Linked DNA regions of Caenorhabditis elegans. The protein of the gene in region 1 interacts with the protein of each later gene in a pairwise test. Each region holds a gene or a part of one and is shown on either strand. Other genes may lie near its edges. The genes, in order: bcmo-1, brp-1 and thum-1.

Region 1 (5,971 bases):
AAATAAATTATTAACTACAAAACGATAGAAAAAGAAAAGAAATAAATATTTCGTCAGTTGGCAATTTTTAAATCGAAAAAACGATAAATAAGATATAAGCTATCAAAGTTGGGGTGCAATACTAACAGAGGGAATACGGTACCAAAAAGAAATATTTTAGTTCTTTCACAATACTGCAAGGTTCCGGTCAAATACAAAATCAAGAGAAATTGTAGAATTGACATATTTGCAGTTATCAAAAATTTATACTAAAAAAATACGACTTCATTTCCCTTATAACAGTTCAATTATTGAGGTCTCTCGGCGCCAATTACCATCCCACGTCCTCCACCACCACCTCGATGACCACCATGTCTGTGTCCTCCACCTCCATGACGATGACCTCTGTGATGACGGCGACCTCCACCACCACCGCCGCCACCCAAAACTTGGCCGATCAGCACGACTTGTTGCTCACCTCCGTCTTCGCAAGAATCTGAAATATTCAAAAATTAGAGCATCAAAGGACTAAAAAATGCTCACCTCCTCCACCACCACCACCAAGCACAATACCACCATCATTTCCATAATCATCATCGTCGCAGTCTTCAGAATGATCAAATGTGATACTACTGCTGACGATGGCCACCAGGAAAATCGAAAACAAAAGTAAATGCTTCATTTTTCTGCAAAATATCGAGCGCTGAGAGCAGTTTTATAGCCAACCTCCGCAATATGGAGTTGTAAAATGTATGTTTTTTTGAAAGAATAGGTTTTTCTTTCTATGTATCTTGGAATCAGCGGAACAGTTGTTAAATGATGACGATTTATTGCACTTTGAATTTTTTCAGAAAAATATTGATATAAGATTCTGAGAAGTAAGAACACGACCTTCTCGACCAGAAACTTTGATATTTGAGCTTTTTCACAACATCATTCTTTACCTCCTTGTCCCTACAGGCACCCGTGACTCCCAAGGCCATCTCGCCCACCTCTGCCTGAAACCGCCAGCTCCACCAAGGCCATCTGTTGAACGATCAAGTTTAAGCTTTTTGAAACATCTCTCATCATCACCAGTGACTAGTGCAAAGTTATTGCAGATCGATTCGGATAATAATACCATCAGAAGCAACGAACACATCAGTTTTGTGGCTTTTTAAATGCTCCTCCATGAGTTGCATAATATTTTTTAATGCATTTTCATGACAGAAAAGAAAAAAAATTCTAGTAAAAAATATGTGGTAATGAATAGGTTTGTTCTATTTCTATGAAAATTGATGAAGCAAGCAAAAGATTTCTATCTATGCACTAAACTATTGTGTACCATTTACGATATTAAAACACATATGGGGGATTAATGAAAGATATATGTATAACGTATACAAATACTTGCTGCGAAGTATCAAAAATGAAAAATAAAAATACCGTTCAATATGATGAAACCCCCAAGTGCCTCGAAAATCGTTTAAAACTTATAAATAAAACAAGTATTTTTAAATTTAAAAGAAAACAATGACATACAGTGTATTTTTTCCACTTCTACGACTTTAAAGGGGGCGCATTTACGCGCGATGGTCCCGGCATTGGTCTCGCCACGCACCCCAAAAATCAATGGGTGGCGCGTGTCGAGACCATCGCGCATAAATGCGCCCCCTTTAAAGTCGTAGAAGTGGAAAGAAAAATGCACTGTATTCAAATTGCCATGTATATTTTTATTATATAACTCTAAACAATTTTTAGCAAATGCTCAGAAATTGTTTTTCCCGAAAAGAAAACTTGATCCGCTGATACTGTAAAGTTGACCTAAAATAAATTAACATTTCAAAACTAATTTGTTGTGGGAAAAAGCCAGAAATTTTAACAACGATTTTTCGAAATATATATGTACATAACAAGAAAAAAATGAATCACAGGAAAAAAAACCGAATTTAAGTCATTTATGTGCTAGGGAATTCAAGCATAATTCAGCCGTTGTATTTGCTTACTATTGTTGACAAATTTAAATAATCAAAAAAAAAGTTTAGAAAAATTTCATAACTTTTTAAAATGTGATATTTTTTGGTGTCATTTATGTCAAAAATCCTAAGGATGAGATTTGTTGAGCACCTAAAACAAAGTCGACATACATATGAACACAAACAACAATTTTCCTCTTGTTTTCAAAAATTCGATCTCCCATTTCAAAAACTCATCACAAACTCCTTTGTGATAATGTCTGCCGTCTCCAATCTCTTTCTATGGACACAATGTGTCCGGTTACTGTATAACTGTCTGTTTCTCTTGAAACAAGGGTACTACATTGTGTTTGTAGTTAAAAAATAATATAGTGGGAGATAAGATTTAGGTGTATATAAAGAAGTAAAAAATTGTGTGAACTAACTCTATATTTTCTTTTCATTTTGTTGACATTTTATTGTTCTAAAAAATGGAAGCTGAAGGATTCCCCCGTCTATTCCACAACTTTGAGAATGTCCCAGAACCCAAAGAGTGCAAAAAAGTTGGCTCAGTGCCAAGTTACCTAACGGGAACAATGCTTCGTAATGGTCCAGGAATGTTCACCGTTGGAGAGGAAGAATACAAGCATTGGTTCGATGGACTCGGTTTTATGCAGAGATATCATTTTGAGGATGGAAAGGTAGGAAACTGTAAAATATATTCTAAAAATGTGCCAACATTCCAGATGTTCTACTCAGCTCGATACCTGGAATCGGAAGCCTACACCAAGACTGTGGAAGCGCAGAGAATAGTGGCTGGAACATTTGGTACTCTAAGCTTCCCGGACCCATGCAAGACTATTTTCTCGAAATACTTTTCGGAATTCATGAATCACTCAGAGAAACATGACAATTCCAACGTGGCATTCACTCCGGTTGGGGATTCGTTGTATGCGTGCACAGAGACACCACACATGTATCGAGTTGATTTGGATACGCTGAAGACTTTGGAAGCAGCTGATTTTTCGAAATTCGTTGCAGTCCACTCTTGCACCGCCCATCAACTTTATGATGAAAACGGGGACGTCTACAATATTGGATCCCGATTTGGACCTGAATCTGCACATGTCTTCACTGTTACTAAGAACCCGAAGAATCAGAAATCCGAAAACGATCACTCCTGGGAGCATACTTCAAAGATCGGAGAGATCAAGGCATCTGACCCCCTATACCCCACATATATGCACTCATTTGGAATGTCAGAAAACTATTTAGTGATGTTCGAGTCGCCTGTACGGCTTCATCTTCAGAAGTATCTGTTGAGCGAGTTTGTTCGTGCAACCTACCATGACTGCTTGGAATGGCATGGTGATAAGGATGTGAGCATTTTCATTTTGAACAAGAAAACTGGAGAGCAACTACCGCTGACGCTGAAAATGAATCCATTCTTTACATTTCATCATGCCAACACTTTCGAGAAAGATGGATGTCTAGTGATGGATTACTGTAGAATTGAAAATGCAGGGAAGTTCGATACATTGCTGATAAGTAACATGAAGACCGGAGAATTTCAATATGTAAGTTTAAACATTAACCACCTTAAAATAACGAGATATGATCCCAATGAAAACATTTCCAGGACGCGAAATTCCTGCCATACCTCACACGTGTCATAGTTCCAATGTCAGTTTCAAGTTCCGCAAAACCTGGAGACAATCTCCTCAAGTCTGTACCCTGGGCGAGTGGATGTACATCAATTCTTCAGGATGACGGATCGATAAGGCTTACAGAGAGACGGGTTTGCGAGACTTGTAAGTTTTATTAAAATATTTGAGGCTGTGTGATGCCTTTTAAAGATCCCAACTGTGGAACCTCTTTGGAATGTTTCGAAACTTTCCAAAATCTAGTAAATTGAAGTAACGTAACTTTAATATTACAGAAAAATTTTGTTTTCTTACGAACCACAAAAAATCCTGAAATTTTCAGCCATGGAATTCCCTCGCTATCATTGGGAAAAAATCAACATGAAAGAATATAGATACGTCTTCGGATCCACTGTTTTTGGAAGAATTGATGGAAATCTCGCTGGGGTTGGTATTTTCAAAAAAAATTTCTAAGCAAAATCAATATAAATTCAGGTTGTCAAAGCTGACTTGAAATTCGGAAACCACTTGATTTGGAATCGCGAGAACCCGCATCAAATCTGCGGGGAGCCCATTTTTGTCCCAAATCCCGAGGGCATCGAGGAGGATGATGGTAGGCAATTTAAAGAGGATCTACTTATAAAAAGTTTTTTTTTTCAGGAATTCTGATTGTTCCAATTATGTCCAGTTCTGAAAAACAAGTCCCATTTGTGCTGATTTTGGACGCAAAAACTCTAGAGGAAACAGCAAGATTTGAGATTCCAGAGGCCAGAATTCCACTTGGATTTCATGCTTTTTACAAACCCAAGAATTGAATACTGTACCTAATGTATAAATATGATAATTAATAAAATTGTTTCAATATGCATGTAGACTGTTACCGTACATTTTTTGATGTACGGATGTACGGGAAGATTTTTGTAGGGTTACTGTATGATCAATGTAGTACATTGATCATACCAGTACTAGAAATTGACTCTGATGTATCCACTGAAAATCATTTATTTAAAAATCACAAACGAGTTATTTATGTAAATCCATTTCCAAAAAAATTGTTCACACTGGCCCATAGCCTGGCTCTTGACTCTTAAACTCTTCTTCTCCGGGCTCAAACGATGGGAGTTGTGCTCCGACACTCCGCTTCTCTTCTGACCAGCCTCTCGAGATTCTTGGGTAGGATGGATGGCTCTTTTGGAGCAAGAACATCCCGCGAATCGGCTGAAAATTGCAGTTTTTTGTTGAAGTGCCAAAAATTCGAAAAAAAAACGCTTACAATTCCACGCTTTTTGAAATCCATATAAGTGCACAACGCAATTACCGGGACCATCATAAACGGAAACACTGCCAAAAGCCATCCGACGATCTGAAGGTAAAAAAAAAAGTTTCTTTAATTGATGAGCATGTCCTCACATCAAAAACAACTGGATAAACAGCTGATTCTCCTTTGAACGGATAGCCTCGGTTAGCCGTCAAAAAGATCAATACACATCCAAAAATCGGCATAATGAACATCCAATTGAATCCATAATACGGGCTGTTGTGGCCGAAAATGTTTGAAATTCGCGTTCCACGACCCAACATTGACGCGATATCCGCCCGGAAGTTTCGCATTCCATAGATGTAGGAAATGATAATGCACATAGAGGTAGCCGATATCAACGCTCCGAATCCTGAGCCATACTCGTCAAAGAGCGCGAACCAGTAGATTCCAGCCTGGAAAATGTGAGAAGAATTTGAACTGTCTGAGGCATTATGGCTAATGTTTAAACTTACGTCAGTTGTCAGGATGACACCACACAAGAAAAGAAGGAAACAGACTCCAATCACCACGAAGACTCGTTTCTCGCGAAGTCGAGGAAACTTGTCACAAAGGCACGTGCACATCACCTCGACAATAACTGCAAAAAACTTTATAAAGCGCTTCTTGGACGCCCATGTCTAGTACGCAGCAGACATCGATTGGGGTCCAGCGGCGGACCCGTGAAATGTCGGCCGCCTAACAGATGAACAGTACCCACCAAGCAACGTACTAATCCCCAACAAGAACAACATAAAGAAGAAGAGGAAACTCCACAGCCCGGGAAACGGCATTTGATTCATTGCATCCGGGTAGGCGATAAATGCAAGCGTCGTTCCATCCGTCACGACTTTATCTACAGTAACTCCACGTTCTCGGGCCAAATACCCAAGTGTTGAAAAAACAGCGGCTCCACCGATTAAGGACATGGCAGTGTCGCCTATTATTAGGAAAATAGCATCCTAAATCATTTGATTCATCAATTGCTACAAAAAAAACCGCTACAACTAACCCGAAAGCATCGATGATTCTGTTTGTTATAGGATGCAGTATTCATGAGAACACCAAAACCAATTGACAAAGAGAAGCACAATTGAGTCAGCGCAGCGCTCCAGGTT
Region 2 (8,835 bases), on another chromosome or scaffold:
CTTACCCTTTAATGCTTAACGTTGGCCATCCAACTTACCGTTTTTCTTCTATTAGTATTGCACCCGACTATTTAACTTTGAAACGTTATATCTTGGTTCATTTTAATGATATCAATATATTGTTAACCAAGAAATTATAGAAAACGAGCTAACAAATATTTTGTTAGTTGACAATTTTTAAATAGAACTAACTATAACTGAGATATAAGCTGTCAAAGTTGAACAATTGGGGGGGGGGGGGGAATACTAATACGGTAAACTAAATATTATGCTCCTCAAATAGTAACATCCCTTATAGTAATAGGATTTGATAAGTAAGTAAATACCGTATTAACTCTTTTGTTGGTCTATTGAAAATTGCAAAATTTCATAAAAAACCTAAACATTTTCAAATTCCATCTAAATATTTTTTTTTGTTCTGTTATTTTCCTCCAATACGAGACAAAACCTAACCTTGAACCCCCAAAGTGGAACCGTTTCTACTCTGTTCTTTTGCCAGTTGAAGGTGATGTTTTTGTCAAAATATAAGGGTAACCTTCAACAATTTTCTTTCATGTGAAAAATGAAAGACATTTGAAACGGTCAATTGAGTAAGGTGGAGGAGACTCTGCCCCCACAAGAGTGCCCCCACAAGAGTGGGGGAGAAATAAGAAATAATAAAATAAGTAGGCAAGCGTAGGTGGGGGGGGGGGGAGGGGAATACTGTAATTCTGATCGGAGAATATTTAAAATTGTGGCAACCACATTAAAAACCGATAATAACTTATAATAGGACAAAAATAATTTGGAATATACCGTATTTCCTCTTTTAGTTTTGCACCCCTTTGCTCAACTTTGACAGCTCATATCTCATTTTGTTTTGAACATATAAATAATTAACAAACTACAAACTATAGAAAAACATCTCACAAAAATTTTATCAGTTGACAACTTTTCTATGGAACAAAGAACTACTGAGATATGAGCTGTCAAAGTTGAGCAAGCGGGTGCAAAACTAATAGAGGAAATACGGTATGTATCGTAAACTTCTGTATATACATACTTCCCTGTTAGTGTTGCATGTATCAGGGTTGGGCGGTAAATAATTTTTCCGCCAAATTGGCGAATTGCCGGAATTGAAATTTTCAGCAAGTCGGTAAACCGGCAAATTGCCGATTTGCCGCATTTTCCAGAAAAACGGCAATTGTCGGACAGATTGTGGTTTTGCATTTTTTTTTTGTTCGAAATTTCGTGTTTCACTATCAGTCTCATAAAAAAGCCCTCTAAAAACTTCCGGCAAATCGGAAATTTGCCGAAAATCGAAAATTCCGGAATATCAGCAAACCGGCAGTTTGCCGCCCACCAATACTAGTTCTAAATGAATATTTTTTAGAGCAAACGGGCTTTTTCTCACCAATTTTTTCGTTTTAAGACAGTTCTCGATATGAGTTTAACTAACTAAAAATCACAAAATTTACAAAAAAAATTATTATAACTCACATTTTTTAAAAATCATGCAGAGCGCTAAAAATACCAAAAATCATACTAAAACATTTCAAAAAAATGTAGACATTTTTTCGAAGAATCTGCAGCATGTATGAATATTTCAAAAATAATTAAAGCATAAAACTGGAATCAGAACTTTTTTTTTAACTCAAAATGAAAAATGTTCCGAAATTATATTAATAGCTTTACTATGATATTTGTTCATTTTAGGCCGTACTCCACCTTGTATGCAGGCACATTAATATTTATAATAAGAGAAAAATAAACCCTCCGCATTTGAATTAACACATCCTACCTATTTTTACCTGAACCATCAAACTTTGTATATTATACTCTGCCCTTAAACCCTTGCTGCAAAAAATGGAAAAGAAATCAAAAATCAAAGTATCCTTTATCATTTTAAAATTTTTCACAGAAATCTTTATCATCATCTGATCGAGATTTTCTGGTCAAAAACAAAAACGAATGACGTCATTCCTCTCTCAAGTGTACAGTAACCAAGTGGCCGGCTATTTTAAAAACTCGTTTTGTGTGTTTCTTCAAAACTTGGTGTCACTTCCTATCAAAACATCGGGAGATCATTTTTTGTTCATTTTCCTACACCGCGCGGAAGAGTCGTGAATGCCAACCTGTCAAAAATGTTTAATGCTCCGCGAGAGAAAGTGAGCCGCTTCTCTAATTCTCCTATTGTGCGCATTGATCTCTTCTCTTTTTTTTGTTTTTGTCTTTTACTCGAATATCTAATCAAGAATCATTTACAGATGACCAAACTAGGCGCACAGCCCGGCGTTCACGGGAGTGAGGACGTTGAGAAGGAGTCTATCAAGATCGATCCAAAAGTGAGTTTCTATTAAAAATATTCAAATTTTCTGAGAACTGTTTTTAGTGCGAAGTTCAAATTTTCTCATAAAAAAATTTCAGCTGGAAATTCGAATTTTTTTTAAGAGATCACGTTTTGGCGCGAATTACAAATTTTATGAGTAACAAGTCGTAGTGTCAGAGTGTCCCATTTCGGCTTGATCTACATAGATCTACAAAAAATGCGGGATTTCAGACGCAGGCTTCTCAGCTGATTTCGCATGGTTAAGAACATGGCTGACGTCATGTTTTTTGGGCAAAAAAGTTCCTGCATTTTTTGTAGATCAAACCGTGATGGGGCAGCCCGGCACCACGTGTAAAAACAGTTTGCCTCGAAATTCAAAATTTTTCACAAAAAAATTTTAGCTGGAAAATCAAATTTTCTGAGAAAACGTATATTGGCGCGAAGTTCAAATTTTATTAGAAATTTTTTTGGCGCTAATTTAAAGTTTTATGAGAAAATACATTTGACTCGAAATTCAAACTTTATGAGAAAACGTATTTTGCCGCGAAATTTAAATTATCCGAGAATAATTTTTGGCGCGAAATTCAAATTTTCTGAGAACATTTTTTGGCGCGAAATTCAAATTTTCTCACAAAGAATATATTCGGTAACAATAATAATAATAACGTTAGTAGAAATATCAACAAAATCTGAATTATTCCAGGTGTTCACAGTCCTCCAGCCCACAGTGATCCCAATGCCGGCTCCACCAATGAAGCCTGCTCCATCGCCAGCTTTCCAGGCGATGAGAGCATGCTTCCATTGCATGTTCTTTGCCACGTGTCTTTTGCTGGTGACACTCATCGGTTTCTACTTCCTCGCCGCTACTCCTGATCTCTTCAAGGTACAGGGTTTTTTTTTAATTTTAAGCTTTTTTAAACTTAATTAATTGATATTCCAGAAAACCGAAACATCCGTGAACAAGCCACAAATGGAGGCACTTCTAGCTCAACCAATTGATGGATCATCTGAAAAGACTATAAACTCTGCGGAAAATCCAGGAATGATGGCAATTCCCTTGGCTCGGGTAGTTGTAGTGGAGGATATTTCGAATAATGAAGGTCAAAAGAAGACAACTGTTGATGGATCAGTTGAGGAGAAGTCCTCTACCAATTTGGATCGCCCACTTCATCCAGATGAGATTGAGGTTAGTTACCAAATTATACCATATATATACATAAATATGGATTTGTATATATATATATATATAAATATATATATATATATATATATATATATATATATATATATATATATATATATATATATATATATGCATATGTAGGGCTTCCATAGACAGGCGCGGTTCCAGGGCCTGCCTGAAGGGAATGCCTACCCGCCTCAAGCCAGCTAAACTGCTTTAAAAATTTTAGGCCATTTTTTGAGCTGCCATAACTTTTTTTTCAAGAGGTTTTTAAGAAGTTTCATTAAGAAATTCGATATTTTCAGACAATTTTGAGTCTAATAAATCAATAAAAGCAATTTTTTCAGCAATACCGAATGATGGAGGCCCGCCAACAATTCCAACAAATAATGGAGGAACGTATGTACATGCAACAAATGATGGCAATGCGAATGATGAGAATGAGAAGACTTCAAGCCGCCTACTACCAACAACAACAAATGAAGATGGCCTACATGCAACAACAACAGCAACAGATGCAGGAAGAGGCCGCCCGTCAGCAATGGGCCGAGAGATCCCGCTATGAAGAGGAACAACGTCGTCAGTACGAGGCTCAACAGACCTATGCTCAACAGCAGCGTGCTCAAGCTTTCTGGCAACAACATCAGTTGGAGATGCAGGCTCAGACTCAGCAGGCTCAGGCCCAGGCCCAATGGCAACAGCAGGAGCAACAGCCACAGGAGCAGCAGAGACAGAGATTCTGGCCAAGACCAATGATGCATCAGCAACAATGGGAGAGACCAACTGTCTGGCAGGTAAGGCGATTTGTAGATTTTTAGATGATGGGCTACGAATTTTTTGGCATTTGGATTTTAGACACATTTTCCATTTTGAAAAATTTGAATTTTTGCTTTTTTTTTTCATAATTTTTTTCAAAAAACTTCGAAAATTTTTCGTCGTATTTGGATCAGGGGTGGGCGGCAATTGCAGTTCGGCAAATTTTTTTTGAGTAAATTGGCAACTGAAAATCGGCAATTTGCCGGTTAGCCGATTTGCCGGAAACTTTTGATTCCGGCAACTTGTCGGTTTTCCGGGAATTTCCAATTCCGGTAATTTGCCGATTCGCCTGAAATTTTCAATTCCGACAGTTTTCCGATTTGCCTGAAATTATCAATTCCGGCATTTTGCAGATTTGCCGGAAATTGTAAATTTTGGCAATTTGCCGATTTGCCGGAAATGTTCAATTCCGGCAATTTTTAGATTTGCCTGAAATTATGAATTCCGGCAGTTCGCCGGTTTGCCGGAAATTTTCCATTCCGGCAGTTTGTCGATTTGCCGGAAATTTTCAATTCCGGAAATTTGTCAATTTGCATGAAATTTTTAATTCCGGCAATTTGCCTGAAATTATCAATTCCGGCAGTTTGTCGATTTGCCGGAAATTTTTAATATCGGCAATTTGCTGATGTGCCGGAAGTTATCAATTCCTGCAATTTGCCGATTTGCCTGAAATTTTCAATTCCGGCAGTTTGTCGACTTGCCGGAAATTTCAGTTCCGGCACTTCGCCGGTGTGCCGGAAAATCTTAATTCCGGCAACTTGCCGATAAGCCAGAGATTGTGAATTCCGGCAATTCGCCGGCTTGCCGAAAAAAATCGTTTGCCGCCCACCTCTGTTTTTTGCTTAGTTTTCGGGATCTGAAACCGATAAAAATTTTCACTATTTTTTTTGTCAAAAAACCATCAAAAAAATTCCAGCAACCACCCCAACAATTCTTCTTCCCATCCCAACAACAACAGCAGCATCAGCAGCAACCACAACAGACCCAACAACCTGAGGACCGTTTCCCACAGGCTCCACAATTCTTCCAACCAATCCCACAACCATCAGTTCACGATAAGATCTACGAGGAACTTCAGAAGAAGTCGCAGAACATTCCAGTCAACGCACCAACTCGTCAAATCTGTTAGTTGTTTTTTTTGCAAAAAGCCCAAAAATTTCAATTAATCTTGTATCAGGGACAGCAATCACTCCAACTCCAGCTCCAGAAGCTGCATCTGGAACTGCTGACGTCACAGCTTCACCCATCAACACTGCATTCCCAGCAGTTGTCACGAGCAGCACACCAATGCCAGAGGATGCCGCTGAGGTTTCTGATACTATTCTCAGAGATATCTTCTCAGCTTTCGATGAGCAAAAGAATTCAGAGGTTTGTACATCAGGAACATGTTGGTTCGGCAAATCGGCAAATCGGCGAATCGCCGGTTTACCAATTTGCTGCCGATTTGCCGGAAATTTTGCCGATTTGCCGGAAATTTTCATTTTCGGCACTTTGCCAGTTTGCCGATTTGCAGGAAATTTTCTATTTCGGCAACTTGCCGGTTTGCCAATTTGCCGAAAATTTTCAATTCCGGCAATTTGCCAATTTGCCGGAAGTTTGAGTTCCGGCAATCTGTCGATTTTCCGATTGACCGGAAATTACAATACCGGCAGTTTGCCAATTTTCCGGAAATTTTCATTTTCGGCACTTTGCCAGTTTGCCGATTTGCAGGAAATTTTCTATTTCGGCAATTTGTCAAAAATTTAAGTTCAGGCAATTTGCGGATCTGGTTCCAGCAGTTTGCCGATTTGCCAAAAGTTTTAATTCGGGCAATTCACCTATTTGCCGAAAATTTCAATTCCGGCTCTCTGCCGGTTTGCCGAGTTGCCGGATATCAATTTGCCGGAAGTGTTTAGAAAGATTGTTTATTTATATATAGTCGGCACGGTACAATTTTGCCGACTAATATTGTAATTCTGAAGTTCTGAAATTGCCAAAAAAAAGTGCAAAACCACAATTTGCCGGAATTAAAATTTCTGGCAAATCGGCAAACCGGCAAAAATTTGAATTTCAAAAAGGCAAGTGTTTCCGTCTTATAAAAAATTTCTCTAAAAATTTCCGGCAAATTGATGTTCGGTAAACGGCAAATCAGCAATTTTCCGAAAATCAAAATTTCCGGCAAATTGACAAACCGGCAATTTGCCAAATTTGCCGAACGGCAATTTCCGGCCCACCCCTGTTTTGTGCTCACTGAGGCATAATGAGTAATATTCCAGGCGGCCAACAAAGAGCTCAACTCAGCCACCCCATCAACCACCGAAGAGCCAGAACTCGAAGGAAAGGGAGCAATTGTGATTGAGGACAGCTTCCCAAGAATCGAAGAACGCACCACAACACCTGAACCAATGGAATCTGAAGAAGATGCTGAACATACATCATCTGAAGATAATCATGAGAAGGAGTTGGATCCATTCGCAGCTGTTCTCAAATTCTTCGAGAACAATCCACCACGTGAGGCTCTCGAGGCAGCAGGGGCTGAGACAGCAGCAACCACTCAGAAACCATTGAAACCACTGATTGTTTGAGAATTTTAATTTTGAGCTGAGCTAAAAAAAAATAATTTTCGAATGTAATAATTGTTATACAATTCGTCCTCCCCCGATTATTTTCCATCATCATCATCATCCCATCTTTTACGCGTGCAGGTTTGTAAATAAAATTATTCGCTGTTGAATTTGTATTTGCAAATCAAGAAAAAAAAAGTATTTATTTCAGAACGTGTGGTGTCAGAGTGTCCCATGTTGGTTTGATCTACGTAGATCTACAAAAAATGCGGCAGAGTTCTCAACTGATTTCGCATGGTTAAGAACGTGCTGACGTCACACTTTTTTTGGCAAAAAATTGCCGCATTTTTTGTAGATCAAACCGTGGTGGGACAGCCTGGCACCACGTGTTTCCAAGGAACTTTCAAAACTTCATCACATTTGTTAAATCCGACTGTCTAACCAGCATCCCATTCTCGATTCGTTTTGCATAGACGTAACATCGATTGATTAGAATGAATTTGATTATTGATACTGAAAAATTTTTAAACAATTTTTCGCTTTAAATTACAGAATATACGCCTAGAATATATGACCAAATATGACTGTGAAAATTTTTTCAAAAATGTCCTAAACTTTTAGTGAATTTTTACATATTTCAAAATTCATAGAAACGACCGAATTAAATTTGAAACATTTGAATTCCCGCGCAAATGAGTGACGTCATTTTCGATATTTTGGCAAATCGGCAAAATGGCGAAATTGAAATTTCCGGCAAATCGGCAAAATGGCGATATTGAAATTTCCGGCAAATCGGGAAAAGGGCGAAATTGAAATTTCTGGCAAATTGCCGGAATTGAACTTTCCCGAAAATTGTCAAGTTGCCGATGTTGAAATTTCCGGCAAATCTGTAAATTGCCGGAATTGAAATTTCCGGCAAATCGGCAAAATGGCGAAATTGAAATTTCCGGCAAATCGGCAAAATGGCGAAATTGAAATTTCCGGCAAATCGGGAAAAGGGCGAAATTGAACTTTCCCGAAAATTGTCAAGTTGCCGATGTTGAAATTTCCGGCAAATCTGTAAATTGCCGGAATTGAAATTTCCGGCAAATCGGCAAAATGGCGAAATTGAAATTTCCGGCAAATCGGCAAAATGGCGAAATTGAAATTTCCGGCAAATCGGGAAAAGGGCGAAATTGAACTTTCCCGAAAATTGTCAAGTTGCCGATGTTGAAATTTCCGGCAAATCTGTAAATTTCCGGAATTGAAATTTCCGGCAAATCGGGAAAAGGGCGAAATTTAAATTTCCGGCAAATCGGCAAAATGGCGAAATTTAAATTTCCGGCAAATCGGCAAAATGGCGAAATTGAAATTTCCGGCAAATCGGCAAAATGGCGAAATTTAAATTTCCGGCAAATCGGGAAAAGGGCGAAATTGAAATTTCTGGCAAATTGCCGGAATTGAACTTTCCCGAAAATTGTCAAGTTGCCGATGTTGAAATTTCCGGCAAATCTGTAAATTGCCGGAATTGAAATTTCCGGCAAATCGGCAAATCACCGGAATTTTCTGGCAAATCTGCAAAAGAAAAATAAATAAAACCAGAAGAGTTTAGCCAGAAAAAGCGAAAATATCGAAAATGACGTCACGTATTTGCGCGGGAATTCGAAAAAAATCATTTGAAAAATTAGGATTTTTTATTTATTTTTACAATTATATCGGACATTAGGGGTTTTTCAGTCATTTAAAAATAATAGCGAAAAATTTTCTGACTCTACTCCGCCTTTGAATAAAAATTAAAAGATTGCTAGTTCGAAAAATGTTTGAAAAAAGTTATATGATGAATTTTCGGAATTAATTTAATTCAAAAACCCACATGTAACAGAAATTGTCATGATTATTTCCACAGAATATCCTGTCAAAAGCCCAATGACAAAACGATCCTCTTCCGCCGTTTTTACGCCGAGAAAGTTAGGATACGTATCATTTGATTCGTATCCTGACGCCAC
Region 3 (5,421 bases), on another chromosome or scaffold:
GGCAAATTTCACGATTAGCCGGAAATTTTCAACTCCGGCAATTTGCCAGTTTGCCGATTTGCCGGAAATTTTCAATTCCGGCAACTCCCCGATTTGCCGGAAATTGTCAATTCCGGCGAGTTCCCGATTTGCCGGAAATTTTCTATTCCGCCAGTTTGCCGATGTGCAGGAAATTTTCAATTATGGCAATTTGCCGATTTGCCGGAAATTTTAAATTCCGGCAAATTTGCCAGTTTGTCCTAAATTGTCAATTCCGGCGATTTCTTGATTTGCCGGACATTTTCATTTCCGGTAATGTGCCAATTTGCCGAAAATTTTAAATTCCGGCATTTTGCCGATTTGCCGAAAATTTTCAATTCCGGCAAAAATCGACCCCAGCCGTGGCCGAGTCAAAATGGCCTGAATATAATCAAATGTGCTCCAACGCACCAGCCGACTGTGACGGACATTATTCAGGGCTTGACCTACAGAAATCGTTTGACCTACTGGCGCCTCATTATAAACTCATATGACGTCACAAATTTCAATAATTTCCCGCGCTTTCTGGAGGTCAAAGTGCCCATCCTCAACAAAACATCCCGTTCAGGGTCCTATCCCCAAGTCTCCAGACCCTAAAGCCTACAATCATAAAGCTTGTCACTAAATAATTGCCATGTTTTTGTCTGCCAATCAACTGACTGTCCCCCTCCTGCTGTGGTATATTCAGAAGATACCAGAAGCTGTAACAAAAGACGCAGGACGTACAAGACAGGTTGAGAGAGACACTGTGGGGGCGCAGACACACACAAAAAAATCAGGGGGCGGGAAGTGAATCGAGAGAGGAAGAAGCTGGCATCTAGAATACCAGACTGACAGGCGACACACACCACGAAAAAAAAACATGTGGACCTTCAACAGATCTACCGCGGAGGCGCCAACTATGCCGTCAAGCTCTAATACGGTAGGTGGTAACTATTTTACTTTTTCTGGAATTTCATTTTGTAAGCTACCACGGATTTCTGGCTTCCCTCTCATAAATTGAAATGGAAGAGTTTGCCAAACTAGGCCATTTTGGCTCGGCCATAAGTGGGGTAGATTTACGGCGCGTTGCGTGTCGCGTCGCGGCTCGATTTTAGTTGTAAAACTAAGTCTATTTGTCCGTGTGGAGTACACGATTTTAACACGCGTTGTCCGCCGGGCGATTGTCAATGGAGCGCGAAAAATTCTCTGAGGAAAGACAGAACCCCGTGATTTTGGCCTAAAAATCATTAAAACAGGAAAATTGCCGAAATAACGGGGTTCTACCCTTCCTCATTGAATTTTTTGCGCTCCATTGATAATCGTCCGAAGGAAAACGCGTGGGTAAATCGTGTACTCCACACGGACAAATGCATTTAGTTTTACAACTAAAATCGAGCCGCGGCGCGACACTCAACTCGCCGTAAATCTACCCCAGTAATGGCCGAGCCAAAATGGCCTAGTTTGGCAAACTCTTCCATTTCAATTTATGAGGGTAATCAGAAATTCGTCATTTTGGCCTAAAAACACCAATTTGGCCTAAAAACATTAAAACCACGGGAAATTTGAAACAGGAAAAAAATGGCAAAAAATTCTTGGAAACCGGCGAAATCGGCATAACTAATCCAAAACGTTCGAATGTACTATTTTGCCGCCAAACACCTAGCGGGTCATGGTGCGGGGGCCGAGAATTTCCTATTGGCAGTGGAGCGCGTTTCCACGTGGATTTTTCTGCGTACCCATAATAGCCGCGTCACACAGTTAGTCACCCAATTTACTACCTAATTGCATGGCCTTTGTGTCGGAACTCGTTTTTTTCGTAATGTCGCAACACATGGTACATAGATAAAAATCTCGAGATAACCTATAGTTCAGTTCAAATGTGAAGCAAATTTACTGGTGAATCGGGAAAAAACTGGTAAATTGTTCGGGATATATACTTATTATACATCAAAAATTGCTCGAAAAATTGTGAATTTCAGCTTTTTTTTCAGGAAATATATATTTTCTAGAAGAAGAATACCGGAAAAAGGTGCGGGTCATTTTGCACGCCATCACGAAATTTTCGCAAATTCCAGCGTTTCCGTCAAAATAGTAAATGTATATTCAAAATTTTTTCATCTAATTATCAAGTGAGGCTGCTCTTTTCAAGTTTCGCTGTAAAGAACCGCCTCTTTTTCGTAGTTTGTTTCACATAAAGTGGTGGTGACTCTGCAATTAAAGGTGTGCAAACGCGCTCTGTGGTTACGTGCAAGAGAGAAGAGATTTAGAGAAGTTGGAGGGAATATTAATTGTTTTTTTTTGTTTTTAATTGTTTTTATGTGTTTTTTTCGCATTTTTCGTTGATTTTTCGTTAAAAAACTTCAAAAACAATAATTTTCATTCAAAAATTTCAATTTTTCCAGAAAAAATCACTGAAAATGGCAGATAACGACAGAAAACGAAAGCATAACCGATGGAATCAAAAGTGAGAGCTAAAATTTGAGAAAAAAAAACTATTCTAAGACAATTTCAGAGTTAAACAAAAATCTGTGGAAGCCGGAGTGACCGGACTATTCTTTTCCTGCGAAGGCCACGAAAAGCAGGCCCTACAAGAAGCCTACAGTATTATTGACGAGCTTCTCGAAGACCCGGCGAATGGAATCTCTCTTAAAGCACCAGAAGCTGCTCCACAAGGCTCAGAAGCACCCGGAAATCCAGCAGAAGCTGAAGATTCCGATGAAGACATTGCCGATGCGTTGAAAAAGGCTTGTGATGATCAGAGGCAGCCGAAGCCGGGAAATTTCGTGAAAAAAGAGAGAAGATGCATTCAAAGACCGACGGGAGTGAAGAATTGCATTTTTGTGAGCGTGAAAAACGCGAATATTCAACTTTTAGCCGAAAAAATGGTCGAGCTGACGCAAAAAGCTCCGCGTTGCAGGTTTTTGCAACGAGTTTACCCGGTGGAGCATACTTTAGCTGTGGATCTTTCAAAAATGAATGAAGTTTTGATGAAGGTGCTTTTATTTAATTAAATTAATTAATAAAATAAAAAAAAGTAATTTTTCAGGTAATCTCCGACACATTGAAGGCAGACGGCACTGGCAAACTTCCCACGTATTCCGTGGAATTTAAAGCGAGAAATAACGATTCTGTGGCGAAGAATTCCGTGCTCCAAATGGTCGATGACGCCGTTTGTGCGCTGGCTCCGACTGCGAGAGTTAGCCTAAATCGTTAGTGTCTCTAAAAATCTGAAAAAATTTCAAAAAAATCAAAAAATCAATGATTCCAGACGCCGACGTCACATTCTTCGTTCAAGTATCTCGTACGACAATTATGGTTGGCGTGTGCCGGCAATTTTACGACCGCCGAAAGTATAGTCTTCGTGCGACGCCGGCAGCGGCAGCGACATAAGTCTCTTCTTCGACCTTTTTCCCCCTTTCACCCAGCGCCTCATTGGCTCAGTGGCAGAGCGTCTGTCTAGTAAACAGAAGGTCGCTGGTTCGATTCCAGCATGAGGCACCGAATTTTTTTTGTTTTTTTCATTTGTTCTGTTAAAATACTTTGGCTATTTATTTGTTAAAATACATGAAATTTGAGATTCGATTGTTAATTATTTTTTAAATGCATGGTATCTATAACTGTGACGTGTCAAAAACTCAGGTCGACCCTTGCTCGCGCGCGTCTCATGCACAACCGAGCAAGAAAAAAAACGTGCAACCAACCCGAAAATCTAGCTCACCCGTTCTGCGCACTCCCCAAAATCAACACTATTTCGCTCTCTCGCAGCTCTTCCAAATTGTCAAACAAACCGAGTAGTTACACGCACCCCCCGCCGAAACTCGGGAGCATTCAATCTGGCCTGGTTTTCCAGTATGCTGAAATTTTTTGGACTATTGTAAATTGTTTGTGAAAAAGGTCTCGCCACGAACGAAATATTTTTACAATAATCATTTGTGTGAAATGCTGTGCGTCTTTTTACCCGTTTATTGCAATTTTCACATGGTGTCAGGTTGTCCCATAACGGTTTGATCTACAAAAAATGCGGGATTTTTTCCACCAAAAAATGTGACGCCATCTGCACGTTCTTAACCATGCAAAATCAATTGAGAAGTCTGCGTCCAAATTCCCGCATTTTTGTAGATCAAACCGTTATGGGGCATTCTGACACCACGTGATTTTTCTGAAATTCTCTTAATTTTACGCCAAAAATACGGTACCCTGGTCTCGACACGACAAATTTCTGTCAAATGCGAATAGGTGTGCGCTTTTAAGGAGTACTGTAGTTTGGAACTTTCGTTGCTGCCGGATTTTCGTCGATTTTTATAGCTTTTCGATAAAAATTCAACTACAAAAAACCTATAAAAAACGATTACAACCCCGCCGCCGCATTGAAATTTTAAAACTACAGAACTCTTTCGCATTCAACAAAAATTTGTCGTGCCGAGACCAGGGCACAGTATTCTTGGCGCAAAAATTACAAAATGTCGGTTTTGGGTAATATTCTGCAGACTGAAATTTTGGCGCATGCATAACATAGTTGACGCGCAAAATATATCTCGTAGCGAAAACTACAGTAACCCCTTAAATGACTACTGTAGCGCTGGTGTGTCGATTTACGGGCTCCATTTCCGAGTCTATAGAATATTAAAATCCAGTAGATTTTTTTCGAAAAGAAAATCATTTTAAAAAATCGAGCCCGTAAATCGACACAAGCGCTACAGTAGTCATTTAAAGAGTTACTGTAGTTTTCGCTAAGAGATGTTTTGCGCGTCAAATATGCTGCGCAGTACGCATTCTCAGAATTTTGTGTTCCCGTAATATCATCACGGCCCGAGAACTGGTACTCTTAAAAACGACACCTTCATTTTATGAAATTTGAAAAACAAAATGATCGAAAAAAAAAATTCTCTAATTTTTACACGGAATTCTGGCTTCCTTCATAAATTGAAATGTAAGGGTTTTGCCGAACTAGGCCATTTTGGCTCGGCCATATCTGGGGTAGATTTACGGCGCGTTGCGTGTCGCGTCGCGGTTCGATTTTAGTTGTAAAACTAAATTTCGTTGTCCGTGTGTGGAGTACACGGCTTTCCCACGCGGTGTCCGTCAGGCGGTTGTCAGTGGAGCGCGAAAAATGCAATGAGGAAGGCCAGAACCCCGTGGTAGGCAAATTTCGTACCACTTCTCGGGACATACCGTTATGTCAATTTTCCAAAAATTTCAACAAAAAACGAAAAGGTTTTGAATCCAGTTCTAGGCCATATTTTCACTTTTTCGTCGTCATCATCGTTTCACCTTCTTCTCACTTTTTTAATACGCGCAGATAGAAAAGGAGAGGAAGCATTGATTGATGATCAACACACTACTACTCACCCCTTCTCATCTTGCAGACGTTTTTTTTTCTTGTTTTCATTGGGGCTTCCTCTCTTTCTTTTTTTCATTCTT

The links.
Region 2: the proteins of bcmo-1 (region 1) and brp-1 interact in a two-hybrid assay, tested with the Caenorhabditis elegans proteins (one large-scale study listed by BioGRID).
Region 3: the proteins of bcmo-1 (region 1) and thum-1 interact in a two-hybrid assay, tested with the Caenorhabditis elegans proteins (one large-scale study listed by BioGRID).

Annotation. Positions count from the first base shown.
Region 1 is NC_003280.10:12,828,303-12,834,273, forward strand, and holds bcmo-1 (Beta,beta-carotene 9',10'-oxygenase), read left to right. Parts: upstream 1-2,373; 5' UTR 2,374-2,404; coding exon 2,405-2,614; intron 2,615-2,659; coding exon 2,660-3,490; intron 3,491-3,552; coding exon 3,553-3,724; intron 3,725-3,899; coding exon 3,900-4,003; intron 4,004-4,051; coding exon 4,052-4,169; intron 4,170-4,216; coding exon 4,217-4,371; 3' UTR 4,372-4,415; downstream 4,416-5,971. Other genes in the region: Y46G5A.23 (FIP (Fungus-Induced Protein) Related), read right to left, coding at 288-475, 523-661.
Region 2 is NC_003281.10:12,018,306-12,027,140, forward strand, and holds brp-1 (uncharacterized protein), read left to right. Parts: upstream 1-2,246; coding exon 2,247-2,324; intron 2,325-3,011; coding exon 3,012-3,191; intron 3,192-3,248; coding exon 3,249-3,494; intron 3,495-3,838; coding exon 3,839-4,285; intron 4,286-5,223; coding exon 5,224-5,431; intron 5,432-5,484; coding exon 5,485-5,675; intron 5,676-6,562; coding exon 6,563-6,871; 3' UTR 6,872-7,016; downstream 7,017-8,835. Other genes in the region: Y79H2A.12 (Serpentine Receptor, class BC (Class B-like)), read right to left, coding at 7,254-7,363, 8,703-8,835.
Region 3 is NC_003283.11:2,670,584-2,676,004, forward strand, and holds thum-1 (THUMP domain-containing protein), read left to right. Parts: upstream 1-2,402; 5' UTR 2,403-2,417; coding exon 2,418-2,464; intron 2,465-2,512; coding exon 2,513-2,993; intron 2,994-3,046; coding exon 3,047-3,209; intron 3,210-3,268; coding exon 3,269-3,390; 3' UTR 3,391-3,584; downstream 3,585-5,421. Other genes in the region: kel-8 (BTB domain-containing protein), read left to right, coding at 881-940.